2 linked regions of the Macaca fascicularis genome follow. The protein of the gene in region 1 purifies or fractionates together with the protein of each later gene. This does not show direct contact. Links are inferred from orthologs where the notes say so. Each region holds a gene or a part of one and is shown in the gene's direction. Other genes may lie near its edges.

What was found.
Region 2: the proteins of PKN3 (region 1) and ARHGAP26 purify together in Homo sapiens (affinity purification with mass spectrometry; 3 studies listed by BioGRID and IntAct, with this or other methods). This does not show direct contact. The link is inferred for Macaca fascicularis from reciprocal best matches to the Homo sapiens genes PKN3 and ARHGAP26.

What each region holds. Positions count from the first base shown.
Region 1 is NC_088389.1:15,243,531-15,252,034, reverse strand, and holds part of PKN3 (serine/threonine-protein kinase N3), read left to right. Parts: intron 1-235; coding exon 236-347; intron 348-418; coding exon 419-546; intron 547-744; coding exon 745-928; intron 929-5,511; coding exon 5,512-5,658; intron 5,659-5,737; coding exon 5,738-5,847; intron 5,848-5,957; coding exon 5,958-6,101; intron 6,102-6,504; coding exon 6,505-6,580; intron 6,581-6,654; coding exon 6,655-6,823; intron 6,824-7,017; coding exon 7,018-7,120; intron 7,121-7,253; coding exon 7,254-7,321; intron 7,322-7,627; coding exon 7,628-7,691; intron 7,692-7,823; coding exon 7,824-7,915; intron 7,916-8,504.
Region 2 is NC_088380.1:149,273,943-149,283,142, forward strand, and holds the start of ARHGAP26 (rho GTPase-activating protein 26), read left to right. Parts: upstream 1-4,023; 5' UTR 4,024-4,409; coding exon 4,410-4,563; intron 4,564-9,200. UniProt on the Homo sapiens protein: GTPase-activating protein for RHOA and CDC42. Facilitates mitochondrial quality control by promoting Parkin-mediated recruitment of autophagosomes to damaged mitochondria.

The sequences.
Region 1 (8,504 bases):
CCTGATACAAAAGGGGAAGCTCGACCCCAGCCCTTGTTGGTTTGATGAAAAAGGCTCCCCTGACCCACCAACTAGTCCAACAAAGGAGGTTTGATTCTAGTGTTTAGCCTACTGAGTGAGGTTTGACTTTAACCCTGTTCTGATGGGGGAGACCAGGCTTTCACTTTAACCCTGGTCTGATGGGGGAAGCTATGGCCCAGGCCTGCTCTGATGGGCTTGTGCCACGGCTCCACAGGAGAGGAAGCTCCTGGCAGCTGCCCAGCAGATGCTGCGGGACAGCCAGCTGAAGGTGGCCCTGCTGCGGATGAAGATCAGCAGCCTGGAGGCCAGTGGGTCCCCGGAGCCAGGTGAGGCCTTGAGATACAGGGAGGGCGGAGCAGGGCAGAGCAGAGGCTTAGAGCTGCCCTCCTTCCCACAGGGCCTGAGCTGCTGGCGGAGGAGCTACAGCATCGACTGCACGTTGAGGCATCCGTGGCCGAGGGCGCCAAGAACGTGGTGAAACTGCTCAGTAGCCGGAGAACACAGGACCGCAAGGCGCTGGCCGAGGTCAGGTCCCAGCCATGGCCCTCTCCTAAGGCCGGCTTCTTCCCATACCACCCTCCGCAGGGGCGTGAAGGGAGGGTGGCTGTGTAGAAGCAGGACTTCTCTGTCGAGACTTCATGCGGAAGGTGACTCCGGGTGACCTGGGCTGCTGCCCCCTGCCATATAATCCACAAACCTGGCTCTACCTTGTCCCCTCTGCAGGCCCAGGCCCAGCTACAGGAGTCCTCCCAGAAACTGGACCTCCTGCGGCTGGCCTTGGAGCAGCTGCTGGAGCAGCTCCCTCCTGCCCACCCTTTGCGCAGCAGAGTGGCCCGAGAGCTGCGAACTGCAGTGCCTGGATACCCCCAGCCTTCAGGGACACCTGTGAAGCCCACCGCCCTGACAGGTAGCCAGAAGTTCCTCCCACTTCAGAGCTCTCTTTCTTTTTTGGGAGAGACCCGGAAGCACAAATCACTTTGGGGAAGAGTTCAAGAGTTTCAGTCCTGCCCCACCACCCACTAGCAGCGTGACCTTGGGAAACTGACATTCCTCTTCAAACCTCAGTTTATCCATCTGTAAAATGGGGATGATATAGCACCTACCTCACAGGGTTACTGTGTTGCACGTGATGTGCCTAGCAGAGTCAGCACTCAGTGTAGCTTGTATTTACATAAATAAGCAGAATAGTACTTAAAGCACTGGTGTTAGGAAGCTCTGGAAAGCTTGATACCCAGCACTGGGCAGCTTGGACTATTAGAAAGTTTTCTAGGCTGGGCACGGTGGCTTACACCAGTAATTCCAGCACTTTGGGAGGCCAAGGTGAGTGGATCATGAAGTCAGGAGTTCAAGACCGGCCTGGCCAAGATGGTGAAACACTGTCTCTACTAAAAATACAAAAATTAGCCAGGTGTGGTGGTGTGCTTCTGTAATCCTGGCTACTCGGGAGGCTGAGGCAGAGAATTGCTTGAACCCCAGCGGCGGAGGTTGCAGTGAGCTGAGATTGTGCCATTGCACTCCACCCTGGGCGACAGGGCATGCCCTGTTGTGAAGCTCCGCCTCCCAGGTTCACACCATTCTCCCGCCTCAGCCTCCTGTGTAGCTGGGACTATAGGTGCCCGCCACCACACCCGGCTAATTTTTTGTTTTTGTATTTTTAGTAGAGACGGGGTTTCACCATGTTAGCCAGGATGGTCTCCATTGCCTGACCTTGTGATCTGCCCGCCTCCGCCTCCCAAAGTGCTGGGACAGGCGTGAGCCACCATGTCCGGCCAAAAAAGTTAATTATCTTGTACTGAGATCTGTCTCCTTGTAGCAGCAGCCAAATTGTAATCAGCAAATAATCTGAGAGCATGGGCTTTGAAGCTGTATCCCACCGAGATACAGTGCGAGCTGGAAAGGCCAGTGCCTACCTGCACAGAGCACTGCTACAGGGCCGACTGACCCCATTCCGTTGTGAGCAGAGCTGAGAAGAGGAAACGCAGGCTCTGGATGGAGCCCTCTCACCTGGCCTTGGGGAATCGAGAAATGTTTTCTTTTCTTTTTTTTTTTTTTGAGATGGAGCCTCGCACTGTCGCCCAGACTGGAGTGCAGTGGTGTGATATCAGCTCACTGCAACCTCCGCCTCCTGGGTTCAAGCAATTCTCCTGCCTCAGCTTCCCAAGTAGCTGGGATTCCAGGCCCACGCCACCATGTCTGGCTAATTTTTGTTTTATTAGTAGAGACAGAGTTTCGCCATGTTGGCCAGGCTGGTCTCGAACTCCTGACCTCCTGTGATCCACCTGCCTTGGCCTCCCAAACTGCTGGGATTACAGGTGTGAGCCACCACGCCCAGCCCAAGGAGTGTTTTCTAGAGGAGGTGGTGTCTTGGCCTTGAAGGACTTACACAGGAGTACTTATGGCCAAGTAGACAAGTTCAGAAATGCAGAAGAAACAGCTTATTAAAAGGCCTAGAATTCAGCTACTCAAGGCCACCCCATATCTTGTCTCCTGGCTAAACACCCCAGTTACTTGAGTTGTCCTTTTTTTTTTTTTTTTTTTGGAGACAGAGTTTTGCTCTTATTGCCCAGGCTGGAGTGCAGTGGCACGACCTCGGCTCACCACAACCTCTGCCTCCTGGGTTCAAGCAATTCTCCTGCCTCAGCCTCTCAAATAGCTGGGATTACAGGCATGTGCCACCATGCCTGGCTAATTTTTATATTTTTAGTAGAGATGGGATTTCTCCATGTTGGTCAGTCTGGTCTCGAACTTCTGACCTCAGGTGATCCTCCACCCGCCTCAGCCTCCCAATGTGCTGGGATTATAGGCATGAGCCACCTCGCCCAGCCTCTTTTTTTTCTTTTTTTTTTTTTTGAGACAGTCTTACTTTGTCACCCAGGCTGTAGTGCAGTGGCATGAGTTCGGCTCACTGCAGGCTCTGCCTCCCGGGTTCACACCATTCTCCTGCCTCAGTCTCCCGAGTAGCTGGGACTACAGGCATCTGCCACTGCGCCCGACTAATTTTTTGTATTTTTAGTAGAAACGGGGTTTCACCGTGGTCTCGATCTCCTGACCTCGTGATCCACCCACCTCGACCTCCCAAAGTGCGGGATTACAGGTGTGAGCCACCGCGCCCGGGCTTTTTTTTTTTTTTTTAAGACAGAGTCTTGCTTTGTCGCCCAGGCTGGAGTGCAGTGGCGTGATGTTGACTCACTGCAACCTTCACCTCCTAGGTTCAAGCGATTCTCCTGTGTCAGCCTCCCGAGTAGCTGGCACTACAAGCGCCTGCCACCGTACCCAGCTAATTTTTTGTATTTTTAGTAGAGACGGGGTTTCACCACTGTGGTCTTGATCTCCTTTTTTTTTTTGAGAGGGAGTCTCACTCTGTCGCCCAGGCCGTAAGTAGTGCAGTGGTGCGATCTCGGCTCACTGCAAGCTCCGCCTCCCGGGTTCACGCCATTCTCCTGCCTCAGCCTCCCGAGTAGCTGGGACTACAGGCGCCCGCCACCATGCCCGGCTAATTTTTTATGTTTTTAGTAGATACGGGGTTTCACCGTGTTAGTCAGGATGGTCTCAATCTTCTGACCTCGTGATTCACCCGCCTCGACCTCCCAAAGTGCTGGGATTACAGGCGTGAGCCACCACGCCTGGCAGTCTTGATCTCCTGACTTCGTGATCTGCCCACCTCGGCCTCTCAAAGTGCTGGGATTACAGGTGTGAGCCACCATGCTGGGCCTTTTTTTTTTTTTTTTTTTTTTTTTGAGATAGAGTCTTGGCCGGGCGCGGTGGCTCAAGCCTGTAATCCCAGCACTTTGGGAGGCCGAGACGGGCGGATCACGAGGTCAGGAGATCAAGACCATCCTGGCTAACACGGTGAAACCCCATCTCTACTAAAAAATACAAAAAAAACTAGCTGGGCGAGGTGGCGGGCGCCTGTAGTCCCAGCTACTCGGGAGGCTGAGGCAGGAGAATGGCGTAAACCTGGGAGGCGGAGCTTGCAGTGAGCTGAGATCCGGCCACTGCACTCCAGCCTGGGCGACAGAGCCAGACTCCCTCTCATAAAAAAAAAAAAAAAAAAAAAAAAAGAGATAGAGTCTTGCTTTGTCGCCCAGGCTGGAGTGCAGTGGCATCTTGATTCACTGCAACCTCTTGTCTCCCAGGTTCAAGCAATTCTCCTGCCTCAGCCTCCCAAGTAGTTGGGATAACAGGCGCCCACCACCATGCCCGGCTAATTGTATTTTTAGTAGAGACGGGGTTTCACCGTGTTGGCCAGGCTGGTCTCGAGCTCCCGACCTCAGGTGATCCGCCTGCCTCACCCTCTCAAAGTGCTGGGATTATAAGTGTGAGCCACCGCACCCGGCCTCAAATTTTTGTTTTTGTTTTTGTTTTTTTTGAGACAGAGTCTTGCTCTGTCGCCCAGGCTGGAGTGTAATGGCACAATATCGGCTCACTGCAACCTCCGCCTCCTGGGTTCAAGCGATTTTCCTTCCTCAGCCTCCTAGGTAGTTGGGATTACAGGTGCCCAACACCAGGCCCGGCTGATTTTTGTATTTTTGGTTAGGACGGGGTTTTGCCATGTTGGTCACGCTGGTCTTGAACTCCTGATCCCAGGTGATCTGCCCGCCTCGGCCTCCCAAAGTGTTGGGATTACAGGTGTGAGCCACTGCGCCCAGCCGAGCTGTTCTTTCTAAGCTGATCTTTCTACCCTGGACCCCTGCCTTTGTTTACAAGTTCTCTCTGTCTGTAACCCCCAGCCCCAGACTCTCCCTAAATGATACTCTTGGGCCTACTTCGTGTCCTCAAAAGCTGCTAGATCCCCACTGCTTTCTCTACCCTTTGAGAGACAAACCTCTAGTGACGTGACACATGAACTTACTTCATTGACAAAACACGTTTCATATCCATTGAGGGAGGTGGGGCAGAGCTGGGACTCACCTCCACTGTTCAGATGGGGAAACTGAGGCCCAGGTAGCAGGTGGGTCCGGACAGGAAGCCAGGCTTCCTGCTCCCTGTCCCAAGCTCTTGTCCTTGCCACAGTGCTCTCCAGGCCCCAGCTCTGGGCAGCATCTCGTCATGTGCTGTGTCTGTGCAGCCTGACTGAGGTCTGAGGTCTGAGCCTGTGTCCCTGCCCCTCCAGCATATGGACGGGAGAGCCAGTTGCTCTGCCCTGGAAAGAGGTGGCTGCCACAGAGAAGCGTGCAGTCTGGGACAAGGTGGCTCCTCCCCTGGGAGTGGCCAGGTTGGAGGCCACCCAGGGTGTCATCGGGGTCCAAGGGCACCCTTCGGGGACTCATGGTACTTGGAAGCTGCAGGGCAGTCAGCAGGCTCCTGTCCAGGCACTCTAGGCTGCCACACTGAGTGAGGTTTCTCAGGTAGCTGCCCTGGCCTCAGGTGGGTAGGGTCTGGGTTCAGCCACCTCCTGGAGAGGGTGGCCTTCCTGGGGTCCCAGGACACCTTGGTGGTAGCAGGGGGAAGATGGCATCTGACAACACCCCCCGCCCACCCTTACCGCAGGGACACTGCAGGTCCGTCTCCTGGGCTGTGAACAGTTGCTGGCAGCCGTGCCTGGACGCTCCCCGGCGGCTGCACTGGCTGGCAGCCCCTCCGACGGCTGGCTTCGGACCAGGGCCAAGCAGCAGCGTGGCCGAGGCGAGCTTGCCAGTGAGTAGGGAAGGAGCTTCGGGGAGGGCAGGAGAGCCCTGCTTCAGGCCTGTGCTGAGCCCCAGCTCTGGCCCTGCAGGCGAGGTGCTGGCTGTGCTGAAGGTGGACAACCGCGTTGTGGGGCAGACGGGCTGGGGGCAGGTGGCCAAACAGTCCTGGGACCAGACCTTTGTCATTCCACTGGAGCGAGTAAGGCTGCTTTTGTGTGGTCAGGGGTGACCTTGGGCTGCGGGGTGGAAGGCTGCCCAGGTCGGGGCTCGTTCTGCACCCCACCCTTCAGCCTGGCCTCCCCAATATAGGCCCGTGAGCTGGAGATTGGGGTGCATTGGCGGGACTGGCGGCAGCTATGTGGCGTGGCCTTCCTGAGACTTGAGGACTTCCTGGACAATGCCTGTCACCAGCTGTCCCTCAGCCTGGTACCACAGGGGCTGCTTTTTGCCCAGGTGCTCACCACCTCCGCCCTCTGACTTGGTGGGCCCCTGGGGGCGTCAGGGCCAGGAAGGCCTTCAAGACCGATGCACTGCATGTAGGTGCAGAGATTGAGGACCAGAGAGGAGGTCTCCAACAATAAGGGCTCCTCGCCGCTCTCTCAGGGCTGCATCTGGAGGCCTGGGTCCTTGTCCTGACTGCCCTGCCTCAGGTGTGAGCCTGGAAAAGTGCTGTCCTCCCTGGGCCTCTGTTTCTCCACTAGTCTCAGTGAGGACATTGAATCTGTTTCCCTGGGTCCTTCTGGCTCTTGCATCTGTTGACCCTGGGGGCTTGGGCTGTGATCCCAGGGGCAGAGGAGGTGCCACGGCAGCTGAGATGGGAGGCGACTGGTCCACAACCCTGCCCCTACCCCTGCAGGTGACCTTCTGCGATCCTGTCATTGAGAGGCGGCCCCGGCTGCAGAGGCAGGAACGCATCTTCTCTAAACGCAGAGGTGTGGAGGGGATGGGGGCTATGTGCGAGGGAGCACGGCTGGGGCCCCGGGACTAAGGTCCCCTTTTCTCCCAGGCCAGGACTTCCTGAGGGCTTCGCAGATGAACCTCAGCATGGCGGCCTGGGGGCGCCTCGTCATGAACCTGCTGCCCCCCTGCAGCTCCCCGAGCACGATCAGCCCCCCCAAAGGGTGCCCTCGGACCCCAACAACATCACGAGAGGCCTCTGACCCTGCCACTCCCAGGTGAGGAGCCCCGTCGCCCTAGACTGCACCCTCCTCTGTGGCAGCTGTGGGGCTCCAAATGCAGGCGGTGTCTGTCTGTCTGTCCATATTGCTCAGCCCCCAACCTCTGTCCATCTCCCTTCAGGTGGGTGTGTCCATCCTGCCAGCTGTTGCATCTGACTGTGCTGGGCACTGTGTCTACTTTCTCCCTACAGTAATTTCTTGCCCAAGAAGACCCCCTTGGGCGAACAGATGACACCCCCACCCAAGCCCCCGCGCCTCTACCTCCCGCAGGAGCCAACATTCGAGGAGACTCCGGTGAGGGGCTGGAGGGACTACTGGCTCCTGGGACCGGCTGGGCTTGGCGGGCTCACCCAGCTGTGGGGTGGCAGGCCTAAAGGGAAAGAAAGAAGGAAGCCCAGCCCTGCCCTGAGCTCTTCTGTCCTCACAGCGCACCAAACGCCCCCACATGGAGCCTAGGACTCGACGTGGGCCATCTCCACCAGCCTCCCCCACCAGGTACCCACATCCTGCGCACCTTCATGTTTGAGACGTTCGTCTGCTTACTTGAACATTTGTGTATCCATCATACATTACTCCGTGGCTCCCTGGCACACGCGCTGGCTGGCTCTCGGGGTCTGATTTGCTAAACCCACATGATTGAGCTCCAGCTCTATGCCAGCTTCTAGGAGCCCTTCCTGCAGGGGTTTCTCGAGCCCATAGGTTGAGACAGCCCCGGACTGGGCATGGGAGGCTTGGAGTGGCTCTGGGTAGGGACCCAGCCCTTGCCGTAGGGGACTTCCTATACCCTCTCTTTCTTTGCAGGAAAGCCCCTCGGCTTCAGGACTTCCGCTGCTTAGCCGTGCTGGGCCGGGGACACTTTGGGAAGGTAGTGGGCTGAAGAGGGTGCTATGGGACAGGATTGGGGGCCTCATCACATGAGCCGGGAGGACCTGATCTGTGTGGGTGGTAAAGGCTCCCTGGTGCGGCCCACCTGGACCCAACCTGTCTCTGGCCCCAGGTCCTCCTGGTCCAGTTCAAGGGGACGGGGAAATACTACGCCATCAAAGCACTGAAGAAGCAGGAGGTGCTCAGCCGGGACGAGATAGACAGGTGTGTGAGGGCACTGCAGGGCACCCAGGATGGCTGGCCTGGGCTGTGGCATCCAGAGGGCAGCTGAAGTTTCCTGGGGCTTTGGAGAGGTGACCCCGTGGGGCCAGTCAACCCGCATTCTCTTTTGACACCTGCAGTTGTTAACTGTGTTTCTTTGGGCAGGTCCCTTCTTCTCTCTGTCAGTTTGCTCTACTGTAAAATGGGGGCATTGGTGACTGCGCACATTCAGAGCCCCTTGTGAGCCCCTGACATATAGAAACCATCACTCTATGGTCAGGCACGGGAGTTCATGCCTGTAATCCCAGCACTTTGGAAGGCCGAGGCAGGCAGATCACAAGGTCAGGAGATCGAGACCATCCTGGCTAACATGGTGAAACCCTGTTTCTACTAAAAATACAAGAAATTGGCTGGGCATGGTGGCGGGCACCTGTAGTCCCGGCTACTCAGGAAGCTGAGGCAGGAGAATGGCGTTAACCTGGGAGGCAGAGCTTGCCGTGAGCCAAGATCGCGCCACTGCACTGCAGGCTGGGAGACAGTGCGAGACTCCATCTCAAAAAAAAAAAAAAAATGGGGGAGCTGGGCACAGTGG
Region 2 (9,200 bases), on another chromosome or scaffold:
ATTCTTCCAAAGGATTTAGGCCAAATGTTGCCTAAATTGTTTCTCTATTTCATATGAAAGTGATTTCTGCAGCTTAACTGTTCTCTTCTATTTATGTGCATGGTCATAACTGATGTTGTCACATGAGTCCTGTTTCTTTCTTATTAAACATGTGTCCCTCCCATTGATGTTCAGCACCTTTGAAATTCCAGTTGCTGTTCTAAGCTGGGGTTGCTGCATTGAATAACACAAAATCTCTACCCTCATGAGCTGATTTTCTGGGAGGAGAAAGACAACTGTGCCCTCCATGTGCCAGTTTCTGTACTGTTGCATTCTTCTTCTTTTTTTTTTTTTTTTTTTTGAGACAGAGTCTCACTCTGTCGCCCAGGCTGGAGTGCAGTGGCGCGATCTCGGCTGACAGCAACCTCAGCCTCCCAAGTTCAAGTGATTCTCCAGTCTCGGCCTCCCAAGTAGCTGGGACTACAGGCATTCACCACCAAGCCCGGCTAATTTTTTTTTGTATTTTTAGTAGAGATGGGGTTTCACCATGTTGGGCAGGCTGGTCTCGAACTCCTGACCTCAAGTAATTTGCCTGCCTCGGCCTCCCAAAAGTGCTGGGATTACAGGCTTGGGCCACCACACCCAGCCTGTACTGCTGTTTCTGATTCTCTCTTTGTAGTAATACTGCTGAAAGTGTGGGAGGTCTTATGTGGAAATTCCAGATTAAATTTATGAGAAATGTACACATTATTCACATATTTACATATTTGTCTGTGAATGGGCATATTAAGTTACATGTTTGTGCCACACAGAATTATTAATATTATCTGGGTAAGCTGGTTCAGGTTACAACTCTAGGCCTCAATTTCTTATCTGAAAAAATGGGAACTATCATAGTGCCAGTCTCACCCTGTAGGGATTACATGCATGTAAATAATTTTTTTTGTCTGTTTTTTGAGACGGAGTCTTGCTCTGTCGCCCAGGCTGGAGTGCAGTGGCACGACCTCAGCTCACTGCAAACTCTGCCTCCCAGGCTCAAGCAATTCTTGTGTCTCAGCTTCCTGAGTAGCTGGGATTAAAGGCGTGTACCACTACGACAGCTATAAATGCATGTAAATAATTTACCATAGTGCCTGGCATAAACTGAGAGCTTAACAAATGATAGCTGATATATTATTGTTGTTATTATTATACATATATATTATTTTATACACATTCACCTACTATTCCTCGATGGGATAAAACAAATAATTGTGGATCACATTTTATTTCATTCATTTAACATGTATTGAATGTTACTATTTATGCTAGACCCACTGTGGCAGATTATATTTTTCAGAAATAGCTACGATAATATCTCCCATTCTTATCATTCCCCCATCTAGAGGTACAGTCTAATCTCCTTCCCTTTGAATCTGGGTGGGCTTATGAGTTGCTTGTAGCTAATGAAAGTGGTAGAAGTATGTGACTTCCAAGTGATTCAGGGCAGGCAAGCCCCCAAATTGCAGCTTAGCCCAGGAGGCTTCTTGACTTTGCCCAGAAAAGAATGTAAGGGCAAGCCAGTGGTAAGAGAAAGCAACTTTCATTGAATCAGTGCTGCTTCTTGTGGAACAGGGCTATCCCATAGGGAGTATGCTCAGGGTGGGCAGTGTACAGGGCTGTTGGCAGCTGTACCTATACCTACTTTTAATTATATGCTAATTAAGAGGTGAGTTACTTAGAACTTTCTAGAAAGGAGGCAGCGAGTTTCCAGAACCATATAAGGTAACTTCCAGGCCATTGCCATGGCCCGTTGCAATGGCATTTGTAAACTGTCATGGCAATGGTGGGAGTGTCTCCATGCTAATGAGCAGTGAGGGCAACTAAAAGTGTCTTTCTTCCTTGCCTGCTGGTTTCTGCTGGCTGCTTCAGTGAATCCTGTTTTGACTGAATCCTGGTCTGATCAGTGGGGTTGTGATTGGAAAACAAGTCCTGCAGGCCTCCCACCTCACAAGGCTAGGTCATAAAAGGTGATGCAGCTTTCCCCTTGTGAGCTGTATATGTTCACACACATATGAGGAAGCCTAAACTGGACCACAGAGAAAGGCCATATGGAGAAACCCTGAGTCTACCTGAAAAGTGGGAGATGCCCAGCTAACCATCCACTCCTCCAGCTCCTGTCACCATCCAACTGCAATCACATGAGAGACCTCAAGCCAAAACCACCCAGTGGTTTCAGCTTCCCCAAATTCCTAACCCACAGAGATTGTGAGAGAAAATAAAATGATTACTGTTGTCTTAAACCATTAACTTTTGGTGTTATTTGTTCTGTATTAATAGATAACCAGAACACCTACCTTTAGGGGCTCAAGATAAAGCCTTAAACAGATTTAGTTTCATAGGGTTTCCATTCTAGATCTTTCTGATCGTTGGCAAGTGAAGAACAATGATTTTTGGTTGTAATTATCTATCAGATAGCTGTCTGGACCTGCTATCAAGTCTAAATTTGTAGATATACTTATTAAACAGATCACATTCATTCATTTATACATTTATTTATTTTATAATATTTTTATAGAGATGGTCGGGGGGGACGGGTCTTGCTATGTTGCCCAAGCTGGTCTTGAACTCTTGACCCCAAGCAACCCTCTCACCTGGCCTCCAAAAACAATGAATTACAGGTGTGAACCACCATGCTCCATTTATGAATTTAATACATCAATTGCTTTCTTAATATAGATGGGACACCTCTGACCCCTCCTGAGTGAAAAATCCATGTTCCCAAGCACCCAGGCCTTCCATTCTATCACAAGGCATGGTTATCGCTTGTTCGCTTCCATCTCTCCTAATACCACCACCAGCTAAATTCATTCTGTTATTCATCTTTGTATTGTTATCATCTAGGCTAGTGCCTGCACATAGCAGACCTATTTAAAAAACAAACCAACCCAAACAAACATGAAGCCCCCATGTAGCTGAAGGAGGGCTGCTGATTCCAAGACATAGAGATAATTTATTCAAGGATAGTCCCTATCCTCCAGGAGTTCACAATTCAGCACTAGACACCCTGTGGGACCCAGCCTGACAAGTGCAACGAGTGAGATGCCAGAATTGAGTCCTGCGGTCGAACAGAGGGACTACAGGGCAATGCACTGGGCGTGGGAGGTCGAGATGGCTCTGGGAAAGGATCATTCATTTATTCCACAAACACTTATCAATCACCATAGCACACATAGCACATAGGAAGCGCTCAATATCTGTTATTAAATGCCAGCCACTGTGCTAGGTGCCAGGATGCAACAGCGGACAATAAAATTGCAGGGGCACGTGCCCTCGTGGGGCTTACCGTGTAGCGAAGGATGACAGGCAGTGGACGGAATTATGTAAAATTGTGCTAGATGCAGAGCAGGAAAATAACAGGCGGCTGAAATTCTAGTAAGGATGTGAGCCCCTTCGGCTGAGGGGAGCCGTGGGCGGGTTCTGAGCAGGAGTGGCCGTGAGGGAGACGGACCGTAGGGGGCGGGAAGACTGCAGGCAAGAGCTGGTAATTTTAAGATGCAAATAACATTTTTTTCTGCCTGACTGGAAGAGGAGCGTTTGGTCGCTCGGGATTCTCCCGGGGCAGGGGGCTGCATTTTTAGTGTAAAATCGGTTGCCCAGCAGTGCAGGGCATGTTGTGGTGAACTGCAGCCCTAGTTCCCAGGTTTTTCATGCTTGGCACATCGAGGCTCCTCGGCCCCCAGGACCAGCAGACTCCCCATGCGCGGCTCGGATTCGGGCCGGAGCAGGCGGGCAAGGGTGCTGGAGCGGGTGCACAGCAACGCTCACCCCTGGGTTTCGGGGTCTGCAACGCCGGGCGGGCAATAGGAGGCGGAGTTTGCGCTGCGGACCTAGGCGTTGGCGAGGGCCACGCCCCCAGCCGCAGACCCTGCCTCCAGGCCCCTTTGATTGGATCAAGACCGCGGAAGGGCCGGGCGTCCCCGGGCGGCCCGAGGGTCGGGCAGGGGAGGGTGCGCTGATTGGCCCGGCGGGGATTAAGTCATCGCTAGCAGGTTCGAGCGGCCCAGACGCCGGCGGGGCGGCCGAGGCTGCTGTGAGAGGGCGCTCGAGGCTGCCGAGAGCTAGCTAGCGAAGGAGGCGGGGAGGCGGCGTCTGCACTCGCTGGCCCGCTCGCTCGCTTCCAGGCGCCGCTGCGGGTCGGCGCTGCGTTTCCTGCTCGCGAACCACTCCGTTGCCCGCGCCGGGAGCAGCAGCCCCTCGGCCGGCTCCGGGCTCGGTTCGGGAGTCTTGCGTGCCGGCGGTCACCGCGCGGGGAGCGAGCTAGCGCCACACCTGTGGAGCCGGCGGCCGTCGGAGGAGCCGGTCGGGGTCCTGCCGCGTGCGTGCTCTGGGGAGCGGGCGGCCCGGGTCCCGGGGGAGGCGCGCCCCCGCGGCTGGGCGCCGCGGGCACTATGGGGCTCCCAGCTCTCGAGTTCAGCGACTGCTGCCTCGATAGCCCGCACTTCCGAGAGACGCTCAAGTCGCACGAAGCAGAGCTGGACAAGACCAACAAATTCATCAAGGAGCTCATCAAGGACGGGAAGTCACTCATAACAGCGCTCAAGAGTGAGTGTCCCGAGCCCCGCGGGGACGCGGCCCCGGGGCGGGAGGGACTGGGAGGTGGCGCTCAGCCCGGGTTGCCCGCGCATCCGCCGGGTTTCTGCTCCCGGTACACTGGGGGACCGGTGTCGACGCCTCCGAGGCAGGAAGGATACGTAAAGCGGGCGAACCCGCAACCATCAGATGAAGAGAGAGACCCGTCGCTCCGCCTTTTTGCGTTCGGGGATGGTCGGGAGGTGACCGAGCGCGGGTGGTGCTCTGGGGCACCGCGGGTGGGCGTGCGCGGCACGCAGGTGTCCCCAGGAGTGGGGCCAGAGTGCCCAGCGCGCCGCAGCCTGCGGGCAGATCCCATCGTGTCCACAGCTCCAGCTCCCTTAGGGGCAGAGTTGCTCAGCCTTGGGTGCCCAACCGTGAGAATGGAGCGTGCTCTGCCGAGGGGGCGCTGCCTCCCCTTGGGAAAAGGCGGGTTGTGACTGCTTCGCTCCCTGTACGCAGCTCCAGCCCAGTCAGGCCGCCGGGTTCCCTGGGTGGAATGCTTGGTTTTAGCTTGCGACTCCTTGGAGTATTGGCAGCCAGTAATCTCTAAATCTAGAATCAGTACGTGCGCAGGTTCTGATTCTTGTGTTTAGCAGAAGGTGATAGGGGTGGGAGTAGAGAATCAGAGTGTTCCTTTACTCTAAACTGTGGGCGAGGGTTTAAAAATAGAATGTGCATATCCCAACTCTCTCCCTCTCCTGCTCCCAAGCTCTCCCTTTTACCTCTCCCATTATCCTTGAAAACGTAAAGGTCTGAGAAGGAATGTCCATAGTCCTCAGAAAGAAGTTTAAACGTATTTCAAACATTCTTGGACCTTTTGTAAAACCATTTTTGCGTTTTTTCCTTTTGGTACAAGGGGAGAGATGCAATTTTGCATTCTGCTTCACTTTTGCAGAGCCAAAGAGTTTCTTTTTCTGGCCAAATAAGCGTGCTCTAGGGATGAGTGCTTTGGATTGTGAGAACGTTTTTGGTGCCTTTTCAGTCTCCCCATTTAAAAATAACTCAGTTCATCTTTTAGTTTTAAGAATCAGGAACCACATGAAGGCAGATAGTGGGATTGTCTCTGACTCTCTTACTTTATCTTTTTCTGTGATGGATTTGTTAGTAGGTGATACCTTTCAGCTAAGAAAGGTTGCCTTAGCAGAGTAGAGTCCTAGCTATGAGAATTGTTCCCAAGCCTCTTTAAAGGGCACTTACAAAAGTCAGGTGCCTGAGATGTCGTTTTGTCAGCTTGTTGCTTCTAAAAATGAAGAGAGAGACAATGGAATGCCAGGGCAGCTCAGAGTGCCTATCTTTTGGGATGAAATGAACACAGGACTGTGATGTGATGAGGCTTCTTAGAGGCGGATTCTCAGGCTGTGCCTTACCTGAAACATATGAACAGACTCTTCCTTTGTCAATGATCAAGGCCATTCTTGGTTTAGGGGACGTGGGTCCCTGGTTTGGAGTAAGTTGGGGGCCCACTCACAGGTTGGGCCCAGGAATTTTGATTGAACCTCAGGCTGGCTTTATTGGGTTCTCTGCTTCACTCAGCAAACTTTTGGTGTGCTTGTGGTGTATTGGGTACTGCAGTGGGCACTGCAGTGGGCACTGCACTGGGCACTAAGGGTGTAGCAGTGAATATTTTGCTACCCCTGTGCTTACAGAGGTGTACTTCATTCCAGGCACTCTTCACCTATAATTATCTCATGTGCTTAGATTCATTTTGCAAATGAGAAAACAGAGACTGGGGAAAACACTTCCTCTGAGTCACACAGCTCTAGCAGCAGGACTAGAGCTTTTGAATCCACCTGGTTTGAGCCAGTGATGGAGTCCCTGCCAATGCAGAGCTCTTATTTCTGCCCCATCTCACTTGCCCGGAATGGAACCTTTTGCACCAAGCCCTAGGATTTGGACTTGTGTTTTCTATTTTGGCATTGAATCTGAGGAGGGTGCCTTTGGGTGACTGGCAGTTTTCCTACTACTATTTTTTTGAGGGCAAGAATTCTTTGGTAGGAAGGAACATTGCAGTGATAGAGTTGAAGGGTTATTTAAGCTGTCTAATGGAATGGATCAGCCCTGTAATCTGGGGGAAAGACTGATGGGGAACTAGGTGTTCTGTTCTCTCTACATCCAGCTCTATTAATGTATTCTACCACTACTAACTACTTGATCAGGTCAGGTGACCTCTTGAAATAGAGGGTGGAGTCAACCATTGTGTCCTGGATTTCAGACATTCTGGTATCATGAGATGCTTGCTATATTGTGTACTACTATATTAATGTTTGTGTATTATTTTTCTTCAGTCATGTTTATTATGTTTATAAACAGAAGTGTTTTTCCAGTACAACTTAAACATAAATACATAATTATATAAACACTGGGTTTAGATAATCTGTGTTCTCTTATAGCTCTAAACTTTTGTGGCTTTATTTTATAGCCATATTTATTTTATTTTACAGTTATTTTATAACTAGTATTTGCAGCTCTTTGGATTTAGCTTGCTTTTGAGTGTTAATCACAGGCAGTAAAACTGTCCTCTAGGGATTGCCAAAGTTCAGGTAGATCATTGTTACTATTACTTCCACTTTATGAATGAGATGCTGGCAATGGGGATGCAAATTCTTTATAGATCTAGATCCCGTAAAGGAGAAACATGCAGCAGGTGCTTGATTAAGTGAAAATATTGCGAGTTGTTTTTTAGACTCCGAGCCCTGGGTAGCAAAGGCCAGCTAAGATGTTGTATTATCCTCTGAAGTTTTGTAATTCTTTCTCCGTCACAGGCTTTGAAGAACCCATGTGGGCTAGAGGGACAGATAAGGGTGACTGAATATGTCTTGACTTTGTAAAGCAGCAAAGTTTCTTTTGGGGGTAGCCCTGAATGATTATCAGTGATTGTCTTTTCACTGAGTAATACAGCATTGAACAGAGAGGCCAAAAACCTGTTCTTGGTGTGATTCAGTAAGGTAAGTAAGTGGTTCATCCTCTTTGCCTTTTAAAGCAAGAGTAAAAAGGTCAGCATTGAGTTACATGGTTGAAAGCCTGTCACCCTTTTGTACTTGTTAGAATTAAGGATAGGCATTTTGCAATACATAAGCGCTGCTTGAATGGCATAAACTCTCAAAGGATGTTTGATGCCAACCTGCTTTGTTTAGGAGTAATTATGTTACTCAGAAAATCCCAATGGAACAAATGGATGTGGAGTTGGGTAGCAAAATATTTTCCCCAGATCTTTTGCTTTGTTTCAGTACCTTGTGAATAAAGAAAATCAAAGGCATTTCCTAATTATTTGTAAATGGTGGTAATTGACAGTTTGAATATTACTCATACAAGCATAAATGGCAGTAAATTAAATTCAAACAAAGTTTTGTAGTTTTTATATAACATTGGCTGAAAAAAATCCCTTCATTTTACTCCATTCTGTGTTCTTAGTTGGACTGAATAAATTTGCATCCAGTCTGTAGTTCTCAACTCATTGACTTTGGCTTAAACCCTCCTTCCCTGCACTTAAAATCATTAGTGGATTTTTTTTTTTTTTTTTTTTGTTAGAGCAGTTTTAAATTCACAGAAAAATTGAGTGGAAAGTGTAGAAAGTTCCCACAGAGCGCCTCATACCTGTTCCTTCCAGTTACCCCTATTTCTAACATCCTGCATTAGCATGGTACAGTTGTTACAGTTGATGAACCAATATCAATATAACATTATTAACTAAAGTCCGTAATTTACATTAGGGCTCACTATTCGTGTTGTACATTCTGTGGATTTTGACAAATGTATAATGACATATAACCACTATCATAGTATCATACGGAATAGTTTCACCACCCTAAAAATCCTATGTGCTCCACCTGTTCGTCCCTCCCTCCCCACTAACCCCTGGCAACCACGAATCTTGTTACTGTCTCTCTAGTTTTACCTTTTCCAGAATGTTATACAGTTGGAATTAAACAGTATGTGGCCTTTGCAGATTGGCTTTTTTTTCACTTAGCAGTGTGTACTCAAGGTTATTCATGTCTTCTTATGTCTGGGTAGCTCATTTCTTTTTATTGCTGAATAATATTCTGTTGTCTAGATGTGCCATAGTTTATCCTTTCATCTATTGAAGGACATTTTTATCATTTCCAAGTTTTATCAATTATGAATAAAGCTGATATAAACATTTGCATGCAGTTTATATGTGGAAATAAGTTTTTAGCTCATTTGGGTAAATACCAAGTAGTATAATTGCTAGATTATATAGTAATATTAATAGTATGTTTAGTTTTTTTAAGAAACTGTCAAACTGGCTTCCACTGATTGTATTGTTTTACATTATCACCACCAATGAATGAGAGTTCCTGTTGCTCTACATTCTGCTCAGCACTTGGTTTTGTCTGTGTTTTGGATTTTGACCATTCTACTAGATGTGTAGTGGTATCTCATTTAAAACAATTTAGCTATTTCCTTATGACATATGATGTTTGGCATCTTTCCATGTTGCTTACTTGCCATCTGCATATCTTCTTTGGTGAGATGTCTTCAGATCTTTTGCCCATTTTTATTTGGGTTATTTCTTATTGTTGAGGTTTGTTTGTTGTAAAATATACATAACACAACATTTACCACTTTAGTCATTTTTAAGTATATAA